Drosophila melanogaster: one gene and its partner. The protein of the gene in region 1 purifies or fractionates together with the protein of each later gene. This does not show direct contact. Each region holds a gene or a part of one and is shown in the gene's direction. Other genes may lie near its edges.

The links. Proteins that work in one complex are often made in the same cells at the same time.
Region 2: the proteins of ABCB7 (region 1) and CG11836 purify together in Drosophila melanogaster (affinity purification with mass spectrometry, with the first as the bait; one large-scale study listed by BioGRID). This does not show direct contact.

The regions. Positions count from the first base shown.
Region 1 is NT_037436.4:1,614,723-1,623,913, forward strand, and holds ABCB7 (ATP binding cassette subfamily B member 7), read left to right. Parts: upstream 1-3,691; 5' UTR 3,692-3,778; coding exon 3,779-3,895; intron 3,896-4,125; exon of another isoform or gene 4,126-4,195; coding exon of another isoform or gene 4,196-5,536; exon of another isoform or gene 5,537-5,675; intron 5,676-5,705; coding exon 5,706-5,832; intron 5,833-6,094; coding exon 6,095-6,320; intron 6,321-6,380; coding exon 6,381-6,535; intron 6,536-6,594; coding exon 6,595-7,943; intron 7,944-8,009; coding exon 8,010-8,267; 3' UTR 8,268-8,691; downstream 8,692-9,191. Other genes in the region: CG33791 (uncharacterized protein), read left to right, coding at 1,796-2,579; CG12105 (uncharacterized protein), read right to left, coding at 1-853; CG13926 (uncharacterized protein), read right to left, coding at 2,702-2,899, 2,985-3,380; CG33230 (uncharacterized protein), read left to right, coding at 4,196-5,536; GC (gamma-glutamyl carboxylase), read right to left, coding at 8,791-9,191.
Region 2 is NT_033777.3:25,069,159-25,073,212, forward strand, and holds CG11836 (uncharacterized protein), read left to right. Parts: upstream 1-1,967; 5' UTR 1,968-2,259; coding exon 2,260-2,518; intron 2,519-2,580; coding exon 2,581-2,967; intron 2,968-3,028; coding exon 3,029-3,105; intron 3,106-3,161; coding exon 3,162-3,440; 3' UTR 3,441-3,554; downstream 3,555-4,054. Other genes in the region: Stt3B (catalytic subunit 3B of the oligosaccharyltransferase complex), read right to left, coding at 1-396; CG11839 (uncharacterized protein), read left to right, coding at 807-892, 1,045-1,723; shams, read right to left, coding at 3,732-4,054.

The DNA.
Region 1 (9,191 bases):
CCTCGGCCTCGGGTTCATTATCAAACATCGGCGGCACCTTATGTACACCAGCTCCTCCTCCGCCTACATCTATTTCGTCTATTTTGTCTATTTCGGTGACTTTGTCGAGGCCCGGCTGCGTCATTGTTGTTGTGGCGGCGGTGGGTGGATGTGGATGTGGGTATTCGGGCTCATCTTCAGACATTGCTCGATAATTGGGAAAGCTAACAAATCGTTTTTTAATTATGGGAAATTCCTGGGACGCCTGCTCAGCGTGTGAGCTGGCCACCTGTCCGCGTCGGGTCATGGTGGTGCTCATTTCTGGGAAATGGCCGTCGGAATTCTTGCGGGGCAATTGCAGCAGTCTGGGAAAGTTCATCTGCCACGGGGCGTATACTTGATGTATGGGGAATCTTGCTGTGCACGGTGCGTATACATGATGTGGGCTGAATAGTTGAGTTTCATCTAAAATTGTGTGGTTCTCTGCTTCTTTCTGGTGCTTGAAGAAAAACAAGGGAAATCCTTGGTTGCTCCTTGATTTCAGATGCAAGGGAAACTTTCCTGTTTGCATTGTTTGGTAATATGTCTGGCAGACCTGCATGTTCCTGCTTCCACCCGCGTGATTCATGGGAAAGCTGCTCTGCCAAGCGATTCCTTGGCCAACCGGAAATTGCCCTGCCATTCCGAGCACTTCCGGCGCCGCCGCCTTTGACCAACAAAACACGGCTGACTCAGCTCCCTGATTTGCGATGCCATCAACAAGCCACTGCGAATTATGAATATTATTATTAGCTGCTGCCTGCGACATCAATGTCTGCTCCTCTGCTTCCCCCGATTCTGCCGGCCAATCCGCCTGCTGTGTCTTTGTCATCATCCTGCTGACCTATTGTCGTGGCCAACACGCGACCAAAGCGGGCTTATTCCTCCGATCACAATCGACTATGTATCACTCAACACGTTGCAAGCTAAACTGGCGCAATCCGTCGGCGGATGCACCGTGATCCGTCTATCTCAATTCGTTCCCAGTGGCTGCGCCTCGCTGGCAACCATCCGATCATTGATCAGTCTGCAATCTATGTAATTGCACATGAGTTGTGCGGCGTCAGGTGAGCATAAGGATCGAATTAACAATGCCCTGCAGATGGGTACTTATAGTGGTTGTTTTCAATTCACCAAAATAAAACTGTTCAAATCACTTGGTGCTATAAGATAAAAACAAGCCAGCTATTTGTTGTTCAAGAAAGTGTTTAGTATTTATAATTTATAATAATGTTCTCTCAGCTAACGTAAACATAATTTTATTATCTTCTCAGTGTTAAAATATGTGCTATTCGTTTATTAAAAAATTCCCTCCACTCAGCAAAATGTAGATAATACTAATCTGCTCGACTTATCTAAGCCAACTGAAATAACTGGACATGATTCCTATGTAGACTCATGGACCACATGGATGAATTAACTACAGGGCATATCAATGTTGATAGATCTTGTAAAACAATAGAAATCAAAGTTTGGTCAGGGGAGGTCGCGCGTGTTTCGGATGCTGGGCAGACCGAGGAGCGCTCTTGTATATGCACATCGGATAGGGTCTGCTATATAGCCGAAATATATATGTCAGCTTGCCAAATTGGTTTTTTGCGGGCCACAAAAAAAAAAAGAACGACAGGCAAAGAGACCGAATAAAAATCAGCTCGCGTCGCCCACCGACAATGCTATTGTTTAAATAGACCACAGAGCACGGCGCTATTTGGGTGACGTGGGGTAATACTGGGTGTCCATTCAGCAATTCTAATCCCATTCTGTTTCTTCCTCGCAGGCGCTGCGTGTCCTATCACGGACGACCGCCCAGCGCCTCGCCAGCGACGGGCAACAAGGTGCAGCACTACAACGAGTACAAGGCCCTGATCACAAGCATCTTCGGAGAGCTGACGCCGGAGAACAAGAAGCGAATCGAGGATCGGATCAAGAAGCAGCAGGCAAAGGCCAAGGCGGATGCGCAATCGAAACCCAGTACTAAGCCACCAGCCGCTCCACCAAAGGGCGGTTCGTCGCCGCCACCAGGTAAGGGCGAATCTGGAGGAAAAAAGAGATCCGATTCGTCTCCATCTGCGTCTATAGCTCCTACAGGTCCAGCACCCCGTAAGCCACTGATCAGTCTGCCAAGTAGACCTCCAAGGGGTGGAAAGCAGCGGTCCGGCTCGGCTCCAGCTCCTAATCTGGTTGATGAAGATTCAGCTGCTCGAAATAGGGAACCAGATGCTTCTGCATATGATGGCGCATCACCGTCAGCTTGGAAGAGATCGGGCTCTGCTCCAGCACCGAGTGTAGTTCCCAGGGCATCGGCCTCCCGCAGTCCGTCTAGAAAGTCACCTTCACCCTCTCACGACGGCATATCTCCTTCTACAAGACAAGAATCCTTAAGCAAAAAGAAATCAGGGTCGGCTCCAGCTCCGACGCCAACTTCTCGTGGACCATTCCGGACTGCGCCCTCCAATACAGAATTCATAAAGCGCAGACCTGCTAAAGATTACGGCAGTAGAAATGAAACCCAAAGCACTCCCGGGGAGTCGGAACTGGACCCAACAAAACCACAGCCCTAGTTTGAATCCTCCTTTGTAAGTCCACCAATAAAGATAGGTAATAGTTACAGAAAGAATATAAATATAAAACTTTACTTGTAATATCAACAACTTGTGGAGGCGACGCCTCCATTGTCTTTTGCTCAGTACTTCCAAAAGTTTGGATTCTGTTCCATGCGACGCTGGAAATTCGTATACCAATTTTGAACGACGGAGAAGGGCACAAAGGTCTCGCTCGAGATGGGCGGGATGTCTCTGGCTGCCACTCCGAAGCTGGAGGCGTAGTTGAAGAAGTTCTCCAGCATTCGCTGACCAAATTGCTTGTTGTCGTTGGCAGTGGACTGAAAATTGGAAATGGGGTTAGATTTGAATCGCAATTATTGCGCCAATCAAATCGGTTGGCAACTACTGATCTTCAGAACTTACCACGGCTGGCGTCTGTTGGGCCACCGTTAGCTCCGGTTCGAGGGAAACTCCAATCTGTGCGATGTGTGAGATCTCCTGGCTGCCGAAGACCATCCCGTGAGCCTGGGCCTCCAGCTCGTGACTCTTCTTCAGCTGGGCGATTTTGAAGATGGCGGAGGGCTTGGTGTTGTTTATGTGACCCAGATACTGCCATGTGGGTGCTGCGTTCGCGTCCGGCCAGCTGAAATATATCGCAGCGGAGGTGCCGACGGGCAGGGGTGATACGCCGGTGAGGAATACTACCAGGTAGTTGACGGATTCTATGTCGGGCACATTCACGAGCAACTTGGTGGCGTCCACGGCCACAAAATCCGATTGGGGCAGGCGTCCGGAGACTATCAGACCGAATAGCGACATTTTCGAGCGGTGGACTATTCCAGAATTCGATATGCCCGCTTTGTTGGGGGAGGAGATGTTATGGAGATGAGCAAAAAGGAACTACCTTATCGATGCTTTCTTTCCTAATGGTGTACAGCCCACTACGTTTCTAACAAAAAAATATATTGAAGTATATTGGAATTTGTTGCTTGCATATGTTCTGACAGTTGATGCATATTCCAAAATCCTAAAAAAAGATTTTTTTTTAAATTTTAAATGGAACTAGTTCAGGCGACTGCTACTTGGCTTGCCATTCACAGCGATACGGCAACTCCAAACAGCTGACGCTGCCATGCGAATGCTGATATCGTAGCAAAAACACAGGGACGGTGCGAAAGAAGAGGGATTTTATTTTGTTTTCGCCTGGCAATTGAGTAATGGCCGGACTCCTTCACCTGACCAAGCAGTGCAGCATCCACCTACCCGCCCACTTGGGACGCGCGAAATGCTACACACTCGCTAAGGGACCGGGAACACACGTGCAGGCAAGAGTGGTGAGTGCTCGGCCTCTAGACCCATTTCAAGGCCACCTGCCAGACTATCTAGACTAGATTACGGTTTCGTAATTACGCGTAAATACGCAATAAATTGGCGGTTTGATTGAGTGGGGACAGCCGGCGATCGGCGGGGAAAACAGTCTGCGTGTGCGTTGTTTTGGTCCTTCTCCACTTCCATCCGATCAATCTTGAATTAATGCTCCACGCTATGGCTTATTTCGTTGCAGCAAGCATAGAGTTAGACCAAAACAGCGCGCACGCACACAGACTTGGAGGATCGATCGGGTATTGGGGACAATGGGTCGCACGCAGCGTCGCCGGCATCAGAGGGCCAAGAAGTCTGACGAGAATTCGGGCTCCCTGCACGACCTCTACGTTCATCTACACTCCGTTGGCTGGCAGAACCACACTCACTTGTCGGCCCAATACTACGAACAGACAGGTCGAGGACTATGCTCTAAACAGAAGACCTTTTCTCCGGAGGATGAGCTCATTCGCCTGCCCATTGGCTGTCTCATAAGCATAGCGACTCTGGAATCTGATGGGCCATTCAAAAGTCTTTTCGACGAAGAGTTATTTGACAAGGACTCCAGAATTTCCTTTCAGGCACTGATAGCCTGTTATATTTTGTACCACAAGCACTTGCAGGAGTGTACGCTAGGGACTCACTCCTCTACTTACGCTGCATATTTGGACACCCTGCCCAGGTGCTACTCCACTCCGTATTTCTGCTCCATACCCGAGCTACAGTGTCTGCCAGAATCCCTGCTAGAGCGGACCGTGGCCCAGAACCGTCAGATAAGAGGTTACTTTGAAATTATTAAGAACATTGTACACAAATGCGATTGCTGTGGGAAGAGCTACGGCCAGGAGATTTGGACACTCGCAGACTTTAAGTGGGCCTACTTCAGCGTGAACACTAGGAGCGTCCACCTCAGTTCCCGCTTTCTGAAAAAGCAGAGCAACTACTTTCAGCCGCTTATCAGTGGCGACACCAACCTGGCATTGGCTCCGTTTCTGGATCTTTTTAACCACTCAGATCAAGTGGAAATCACAGCAGGGATTGAGGGTCCCGATTACGTTCTTACATTGAAATCTCTGCCATTTTCCGAGACCAAACCATATGATCAATTGTTCATCAGCTACGGTGCTTTGCCCAACTTTAAGCTATTGACGGAATATGGCTTTTGGCTAAGAGAAAATAAGCACGATTACTTTGAAGTCTCCCTACTGGACATTGAGCACATGATTAAGCAAAACAAGGAGCTATCAACGCAAACCTTTCACCGGAACATCTTTAAATTCATCAGGGAGCACAATCTGAACGATCAAATGTTCGTGCACATCGACGATGGATGCTCTCACAATCTAAGGGTTGTGCTGCACCTGATCTTCAAGCAGCAGGCCTACTTTCCCAACATCCTCAACCAGATTGCCTTTGGAGACGCCGAGCAGTTTCAGGACGTGCAGCCAGAGCTGTCGTACCTCGTAGAATATAAAATAAAGGAATACGAGATCTTTGGAGGAGAGCTGGATAAGCTTCCTAAATTGACAGAAAGTGGTGCAGTGGCACGGTCTTACCTCCAAGAGTGTATCCGTTACCTCGTTGACTTTCAATCGGTGCATCTAGCTGCATAGAAGCTGTCTAGGCTGAGCTTAGAATTTAAAACAAGGCGTTTAATATTGAAATGAATAGTAATAGATGTTAAAGAAAAACTACTTAAGTTTATATTATTTGAGGCATTTAAATTTTTTTTAATAAATCACAGAAAACTGTAAACTTTATTTTGTAAATGACCCCTTTCAGCTGTACTCTTCGCTGACTAAGGTTGATGATAAGAACAGCAGCGATGCCAAGCGGAAGAAGATTACCCCGTTTACGCCCACGCCGGGTAGCAAGCTCCTGGGTGGAGTATTCGGCAAGAAGGCCAAAGGTAGGTGCCGTGGGGCAGCATCAGTTACCCAGTAAATAACCAATGCTCGAGTATCCTGATTAATACAGCACCCCTGCAGATATCCGCAGGCTTTTTATTTAGTACTAGCCTCTCACGCTTTTTTTTTATTGACTAACCAACCCAAAATTGATTTTGTTTTGTGGACCGAGTACGTGCGTCCGTTTGTTTCTTTGTTTGTTTGTGCGCTTGTTGTGTTGAGCGCCTGTCTGAATTTGGCTGCATCCAAGTGAATTCAATGCAGGTGGAGCCCCAGCAGCAGCAGCAGCAAAAACAACAACGCTACAGCGGCAGCGACCTTACCGCCCACAACAACAGCAATCACGACTATGTCATGTTCATATAGGGGGCGGCAGCGATGGTGGCTCGGGATTGGGCAAGCTAGACGCGCCGGAGGTCACCTCCAAGGATATGCTGCGTGCCATGATGGCCTACATCTGGCCAAAGGAGGATCCACTGGTGCGAAAGCGGTAAGTTCATCTGACTATGACTGAGAATACTTTAATATCTATTGTTTTCCAAATTGACAGGGTGGGTATTTCCCTGGGTCTGTTGGCTGGCTCCAAGCTGCTGACCGTCTGTGTCCCCTTCTTGTTCAAAGGAGCTGTGGACACGATGACAACGCTGAACATGGACACTGCCCCGGATGCGGTCCTCTCCGCAGCCACCGCACTGATGTTGGGATGTAGGTTTCTTAGCCTGAGTTCCCTATCATAAAAGATCTTAACTGTCTAATTCACGCAGATGGCATTGCTAGAGCCAGTGCGGCGGGCTTTAATGAGTTGCGGAATGCAGTGTTTGCCAAGGTGGCCCACCACTCGATCCGAAAGATCGCCAGCAATGTGTTCCTGCATCTGCACAACCTGGATCTGGCCTTCCACCTGAACAAACAAACTGGAGCACTGTCAAAGACCATCGATCGAGGATCGAGGGGCATTAACTTTGTGCTCTCCGCCATGGTCTTCAACATTGTGCCCACTATCTTTGAGCTGGCCCTCGTGTCCAGTATCCTGGGAGTGAAGTGTGGCCTGGCCTTCGCTGGTGTCAGCATGGGCTGCGTTGGCATATACGCTGCCTACACTCTGAGTGTGACCCAGTGGCGCACCCAGTTCCGTGTATTTATGAACCAGGCGGAGAACGAGGCCGGCAACAAGGCCGTAGACTCGCTGATCAACTACGAGACGGTGAAGTACTTCAACAACGAAAAGTACGAGGCGGGTTGCTACAACGAGGTGCTGAAGAAGTATGAGGCGGCCAGCTTGAAGACTAGCTCCAGTCTCGCTCTGCTCAACTTTGGCCAGAACGCCATTTTCAGCAGCGCACTGAGTCTGATTATGGTATTGGCCGCCAAGGAGATTGCCCAAGGCAACATGACGGTTGGAGATTTGGTGATGGTCAACGCCCTGCTCTTCCAGCTCTCGATCCCCCTCGGTTTTCTGGGCAGTGTTTATCGTGAGGTGCGACAGGCTTTGCTGGACATGCGGGCCATGTTCACGTTGATGAACGTGGACAGTAGCATTCAGACAGCCGCCAATGCCCAGCCCCTGTTCGTGGACACCACTAACTCATCCATTGAGTTCCGCAACGTGAGCTTCGAGTACGAACCTGGCAAGCCCATTTTCCGGGACCTCAGTTTCACCATACCCGCCGGTAAAAACGTCGCCATTGTGGGCGGCTCTGGCTCAGGAAAATCGTCGATGGTGCGCCTTCTCTTCCGCTTCTTTGAGCCAAACTCTGGTAAAGTGTTGATCGGTGGCCAGGATATCAGCGCCGTGGATTTGGAGAGCCTGCGCAAGGTTATTGCAGTGGTGCCGCAGGATTCGGTGCTATTCCACAACACCATCGAGCACAATATCCACTATGGCAACCTGTCCAAGTCCCACGCAGAAGTGCAGAATGCTGCCCGCATGGCTGATTTGCATGACTCCATCATGAGCTGGCCAGGACAGTACTCCACTCAGGTAGGCGAACGTGGATTAAAGTTATCCGGTGGCGAGAAGCAGCGCGTTGCCATCGCTAGGGCCATACTGAAGAACACCCCCATTCTGATCTTTGACGAGGCTACAAGCAGTCTGGACTCGATCACCGAGCATGTGAGTGTTGAAAGCGACTAAGTGAACTTCTATAAACTGACGGAATCGGACTTCTTCCCTTTGTAGAACATTCTGCAGGCTCTGACCCGCGCTACCTCAGGACGCACTAGCATTTGCATTGCCCACCGTCTCTCGACAGTCAAGGATGCGGACGAGATTCTGGTGCTCGAGAACGGACGTGTAGGTGAACGTGGCACCCATTCGGAGCTGCTGAGGCAGAATGGACTGTATGCCCGCCTCTGGGAGACGCAGACGCAGCAGTTCGACCCGAGCCGGGAGATCAATGAGGAGGTGGCAGCGAAGAAGACGCGGGGCGTGGCGTAGACGAGGCTCCTAGCCTATTTATGTGTTTGTTATAATGTTATAACCATCCCCTTCGTTTGGCAATCCCTAGCCACTAAATTCACCGTAGAATCCTCCTGGACCGGAGATTCGCTATTCATAGGCTTAAAGTATCATTGTGACGTTTGTAAATACAGCTGTAGATATGCGATAAGAGAAATTGAACGGGATGTGGTACAATATGGAACATTTATTATCAGTTTTATCACCCATACATTCGGTTATATCGCTCTGGTTTCCAAGGTTTTGTTTCGAGATTTAATTGATTTGAGCGTATCGTTATGTAAATGCAAAATAATGTGATATTATTAAATGCATTTCATTGATATATAGACAAAACCAAGAGGATTTGTGTATATCCTTCAAATCGGACCTTCATTTCTTCAATATAAATTGTTATCCTCTGATTTATAGGCAATATAGGTTTTGAATTTGCTTAACCAGATTTAATATCGAATCTAGATACGGCTAAAACCGAAATAGTGCCGATGGTTAGCCTTCTCCTTCAATCTCCCCCCTTTACGGCCTGCGGAATGGGCACATCGTAGAGCAAGTACATTAGGCAGTTGCCAATGTGGCCCAAAAACTGCTGGTAGTTGGTAACCCGATGCTGGAACTCCTGCCACAGCGGCAGGACAGACCGCTCCTCGGTATCAGGCTGTTCTATCGTGATGCCCTGCTCCAGCATCGTTTTGTTGGTGTATGTGAACAGATACGAAGCTGGCTTCTGGCCAATGGTGGTGACCAAGTGGGTGATGTTGCTCTCCAGACCGATGCTCTTGCCGGCTGTCAGGAAATAGGCCTCCGGATCCCGCTCGTTCCGGTACCGAACATTTCCCTCAAGAATGGTCAGCGTGCAGTTGATAAGGTCCGGCGAGATGAAGTTGGTCAGAGTTAGTCCCGGGA
Region 2 (4,054 bases), on another chromosome or scaffold:
GGTGGAGATGGAGGTCAGGCCACTGAAGATCGGCGCCAGGAACACGCAGATGTCACGAATATGGACCGGTATGTTGAGTACGTGCAGCAGCCAATGGATTCCGCCGGACGTAATCATCAGGCCGGGATAGACGGTACCGCCCACAATCCTGCCGAGCGGATACCATGCGCGCTCGTCGAACCAGTTGAGGAAGTTGTACCAACCATTCTGCACCATGTAGGCGGTGGCCCGGTAGTTGAACCACGGATCAAACTCATGGATAATCGACTCGAAACGGATGACGGCGAAGAGGCGAGAGGAAAATCCGGCCAGCCAGGCGATTAGCAGGATGGCGAAGGTGATTAGGCTGCTGTAGCCAGCCACCTTGCTGTTCAGCATCTTCGGCGTCCGATTCATGTCCCAATTCCAGCCAGTAACTCGAAAATTATAACCGATCTGAAATGCAACGACACATTCTTCGCTTAGACACGTAGTCTAAAAAAATTGCCGGGTAGACTGCCAACTCGGTTTTAGATACGCTATCGATAGTGCAATCGATAACAAGACCAGGGCAACGTAACTTTGAATGCTTTTAAATTTGTACTTGCCTCGTTTTCGTTGTATTCCAAAATAATTTAAAATACATCTAAACAATTTTTTGGAATAACTTTTTGTTCCATTTATTTGCATAGCATAAAAAAATAAGCAAACTCTCCATTCCATTTGTTCTGTGTCTTGTTCAAAATAATCGCCGTTGCGCTCATCTCTAGTTTAATTCCTATGATTGACAGAAGCCGCTGAAAAACCTAAGAATATTGAAAATCAACATGAATAATGGGAATATAAAACGCCTTCAAAAGAAACTCAGCGTTTCGAAAAAGCCAGCAGTCACTGTGGATTCACCATTGGCAAAATATCCTTTACAAAAGCAAAAAACCCACTGAAATTCTATTGTTGTTTACACTTTCTAGCCGGTGTTTACTAAAACATGTTGTTTTCTAATATAACTTTTAATTTCGAATAAATATCCAGCTAGTTGGTTTCCTTAACTGAACTTAACTATACGTATGACTCCTCGGGCATCTTGACCTGCATTATTTGCAGGATTCCTATCAAACCCAACGTCTGGAAGGTGCATATAAATTCCAAGCAGCACAAACTGAACGTCGATCAGGCTAAGCAGAATAAGGTGGAGAAACCCGTCACCACTACTGCACCCAAGGATCCTACGGGTCCGTCCACCAAGACTTCAGCTCCTGCCAAAAACTCCAGCACACTGCCAGATAAAACTCCACAGAGCAGCCAGGAAAAGCATCCTCCCCTCATTCAAGAGAAAACTGCCCAGGGAAATGCGAGCAGCAAGCCTGAGAATGAAACTACTGTCGAGAAACTGCCAGAAAAGTTCTTCGACGAGGATAAGACCAATAAATCGGAGGCCGCTCGCCTTCAGGACGAGGAATGGCAGCGATTCCAGCAGGAGATCAAGCGGGCGGACACGGAATCCAGTGAAATTGTGGCCGACGAGCAGGAGGACATCAATCTCAAGCGACACATCAAGGAGATCGACGAGCAGATCGACAACTGGAAGAGATTTATTAAAATTAACGATCAGAAAAAAGTACTCCTTAGTAAAAAGCGAAGAGTAGACCCCAAGATGGAGGTCGATCCGGAATTGAGTTCAAGCGAAGAAGATTGCAGTGTGGATGATTTGTTCGACTGGAGAACGAAAAATCTGCATAGCTAGAGAATAAATATGGTATTAAAATGTTACTGTTATAAAACAACAAACGTCTTTTAATTAACGCATTATTCCATTCAAAAGTCTTTCCAAAGCCAAAAAAATTCAAAAAAAAAAGCGTGTTAGAAAATTTTGAAAATATAATTTCGTAGATTTTTATAAACTGAAAGTGAAAAAAACTGGTGGAACAGCTGACACATCTTGACCATGAAAGTGGTCAACAGGTAGAAAGTGGTACGTGGCCACACTGCGACTAACTCTCACATTTTGTATTAGCGCTAAGCGATCCGTACGCTACATTACTATCAGACTTAGTACATATTTTATGTTACATTAATTAGTTACAGACTCTTATTTATTCTTAAGCCGTATCTACAGAAACCTTGTTAATGTTGTGTTGAGTATTACGTATTAGTTGTGCAAATGTTTTGTTGTGTTTAAGAATGTTTTGAACTCGTTACGTTGTTTGTTTGATGTGATCAAGTTTCCCATAAACACAAACATATCCCCCCATTTGTTACAATGATATCTAATTCGTGAACATGAGCCTAAAGTATATAATCTTTTTTTGGATGTTGACGGCGAACTATTCAAGTGTCTTAAGCTTGGAATATTCCAAAGGTTTCAATGAGTCGGACGCTATTAACACAATTCACACGGGCCACAATAAACGAACCAGTAAATTTCTATTTGACACAATTTTTCGCATAAGTTCGGGAGTATCGAATGCCTTTGGACTTTCGGATACCGAAGACGAGGTCGAGTATACCGAAAATTCCAGCCTAAAAAACTGTGACTGTGGTATGTGCATGTGTTGTTTGTTGCTGATATTTAAATTAATGTGATAAATTTCACTCGTGCAGATTGTGGCTTTTCGAACGAAGAAATCCGGATTGTTGGGGGAAAGCCCACGGGTGTTAATCAATATCCTTGGATGGCACGAATCGTGTACGACGGCAAGTTCCATTGCGGAGGATCCTTACTGACGAAGGATTACGTTCTATCGGCCGCTCACTGCGTGAAGAAACTGCGAAAATCCAAAATCAGAGTCATATTCGGCGACCACGATCAAGAGATCACCTCGGAGTCACAGGCCATCCAACGTGCGGTTACGGCTGTGATAAAGCACAAGAGCTTTGACCCCGATACATACAACAACGACATTGCCCTGTTGCGACTTCGCAAGCCTATATCGTTTTCTAAAATTATAAAGCCAATCTGCCTACCGCGCTATAATTACGACCCCGCAGGTAAATATTTCTAGCATTCCTAGCAATAAATATGTATATATTAATATGAAATTGGATTTAGGTCGCATTGGAACGGTTGTCGGCTGGGGACGGACATCCGAGGGAGGAGAACTACCATCCATAGTTAATCAAGTTAAGGTGAGTAATGCTATTTGGTTTCTTGAGTATATTATGACCATCTACGACAATTGCAGGTGCCAATCATGTCCATCACGGAATGCCGAAATCAAAGATACAAAAGTACTCGAATTACCTCATCCATGTTGTGTGCGGGTAGGCCTTCCATGGACTCATGCCAGGGCGACAGTGGAGGACCGCTGTTGCTATCCAATGGCGTTAAGTATTTCATCGTCGGCATTGTGTCCTGGGGCGTTGGTTGCGGCCGCGAAGGATATCCGGGTGTTTACTCCAGAGTGAGCAAATTCATACCGTGGATTAAGTCTAATTTAGAAAATACCTGCCTGTGTTCATAGTCAATGTTGTGTGCAAATGCACGACCTTATTTATTGCCTAGCTTAGTCCGTTTTAATGCAAAGTGTCTTTGTTACTCCACCAATCCATCGAAAATAAATATAATTGTTTCATTTAAACTATTGAGATATTAATCTGGATTAGCTGAAGCACAGCTTTCATATATACATTTTTATTGCGTATATAAAAAACGTAGTTCTATAAAAACTATGACTAATGTATATCGGGATATAAGTGCTAATCCTACACTTTCTAATAATAACCTAGTGCATTATTTTACAATTACTGTACTGCTAGACTTCCCTGTACCTTTTAGTTACGACTGCGTTCGCCACTTTTAAGACTTCATTTGATATTTTTCCACAGCTTGAGTTCTTGATGGATGGTATACTGAGTGCTGCATGCAAGGGCATTAGGAATTCGGTGTTGGCGTTGGAGCCCAGTTGGTAGTTTTCCATAGCCCCGTAGATACTCTTAAAGAGTGGCTGCCTGTCTGAATGGAAATAACCACGATTTCCGTGGATAACCTTAACGCCAGTTTGAGACATATTGCAAATGCTCATGTACATGCAGTGATCTGGACGGTAGTTGTATTCGCATGGCATGATGTACAGCT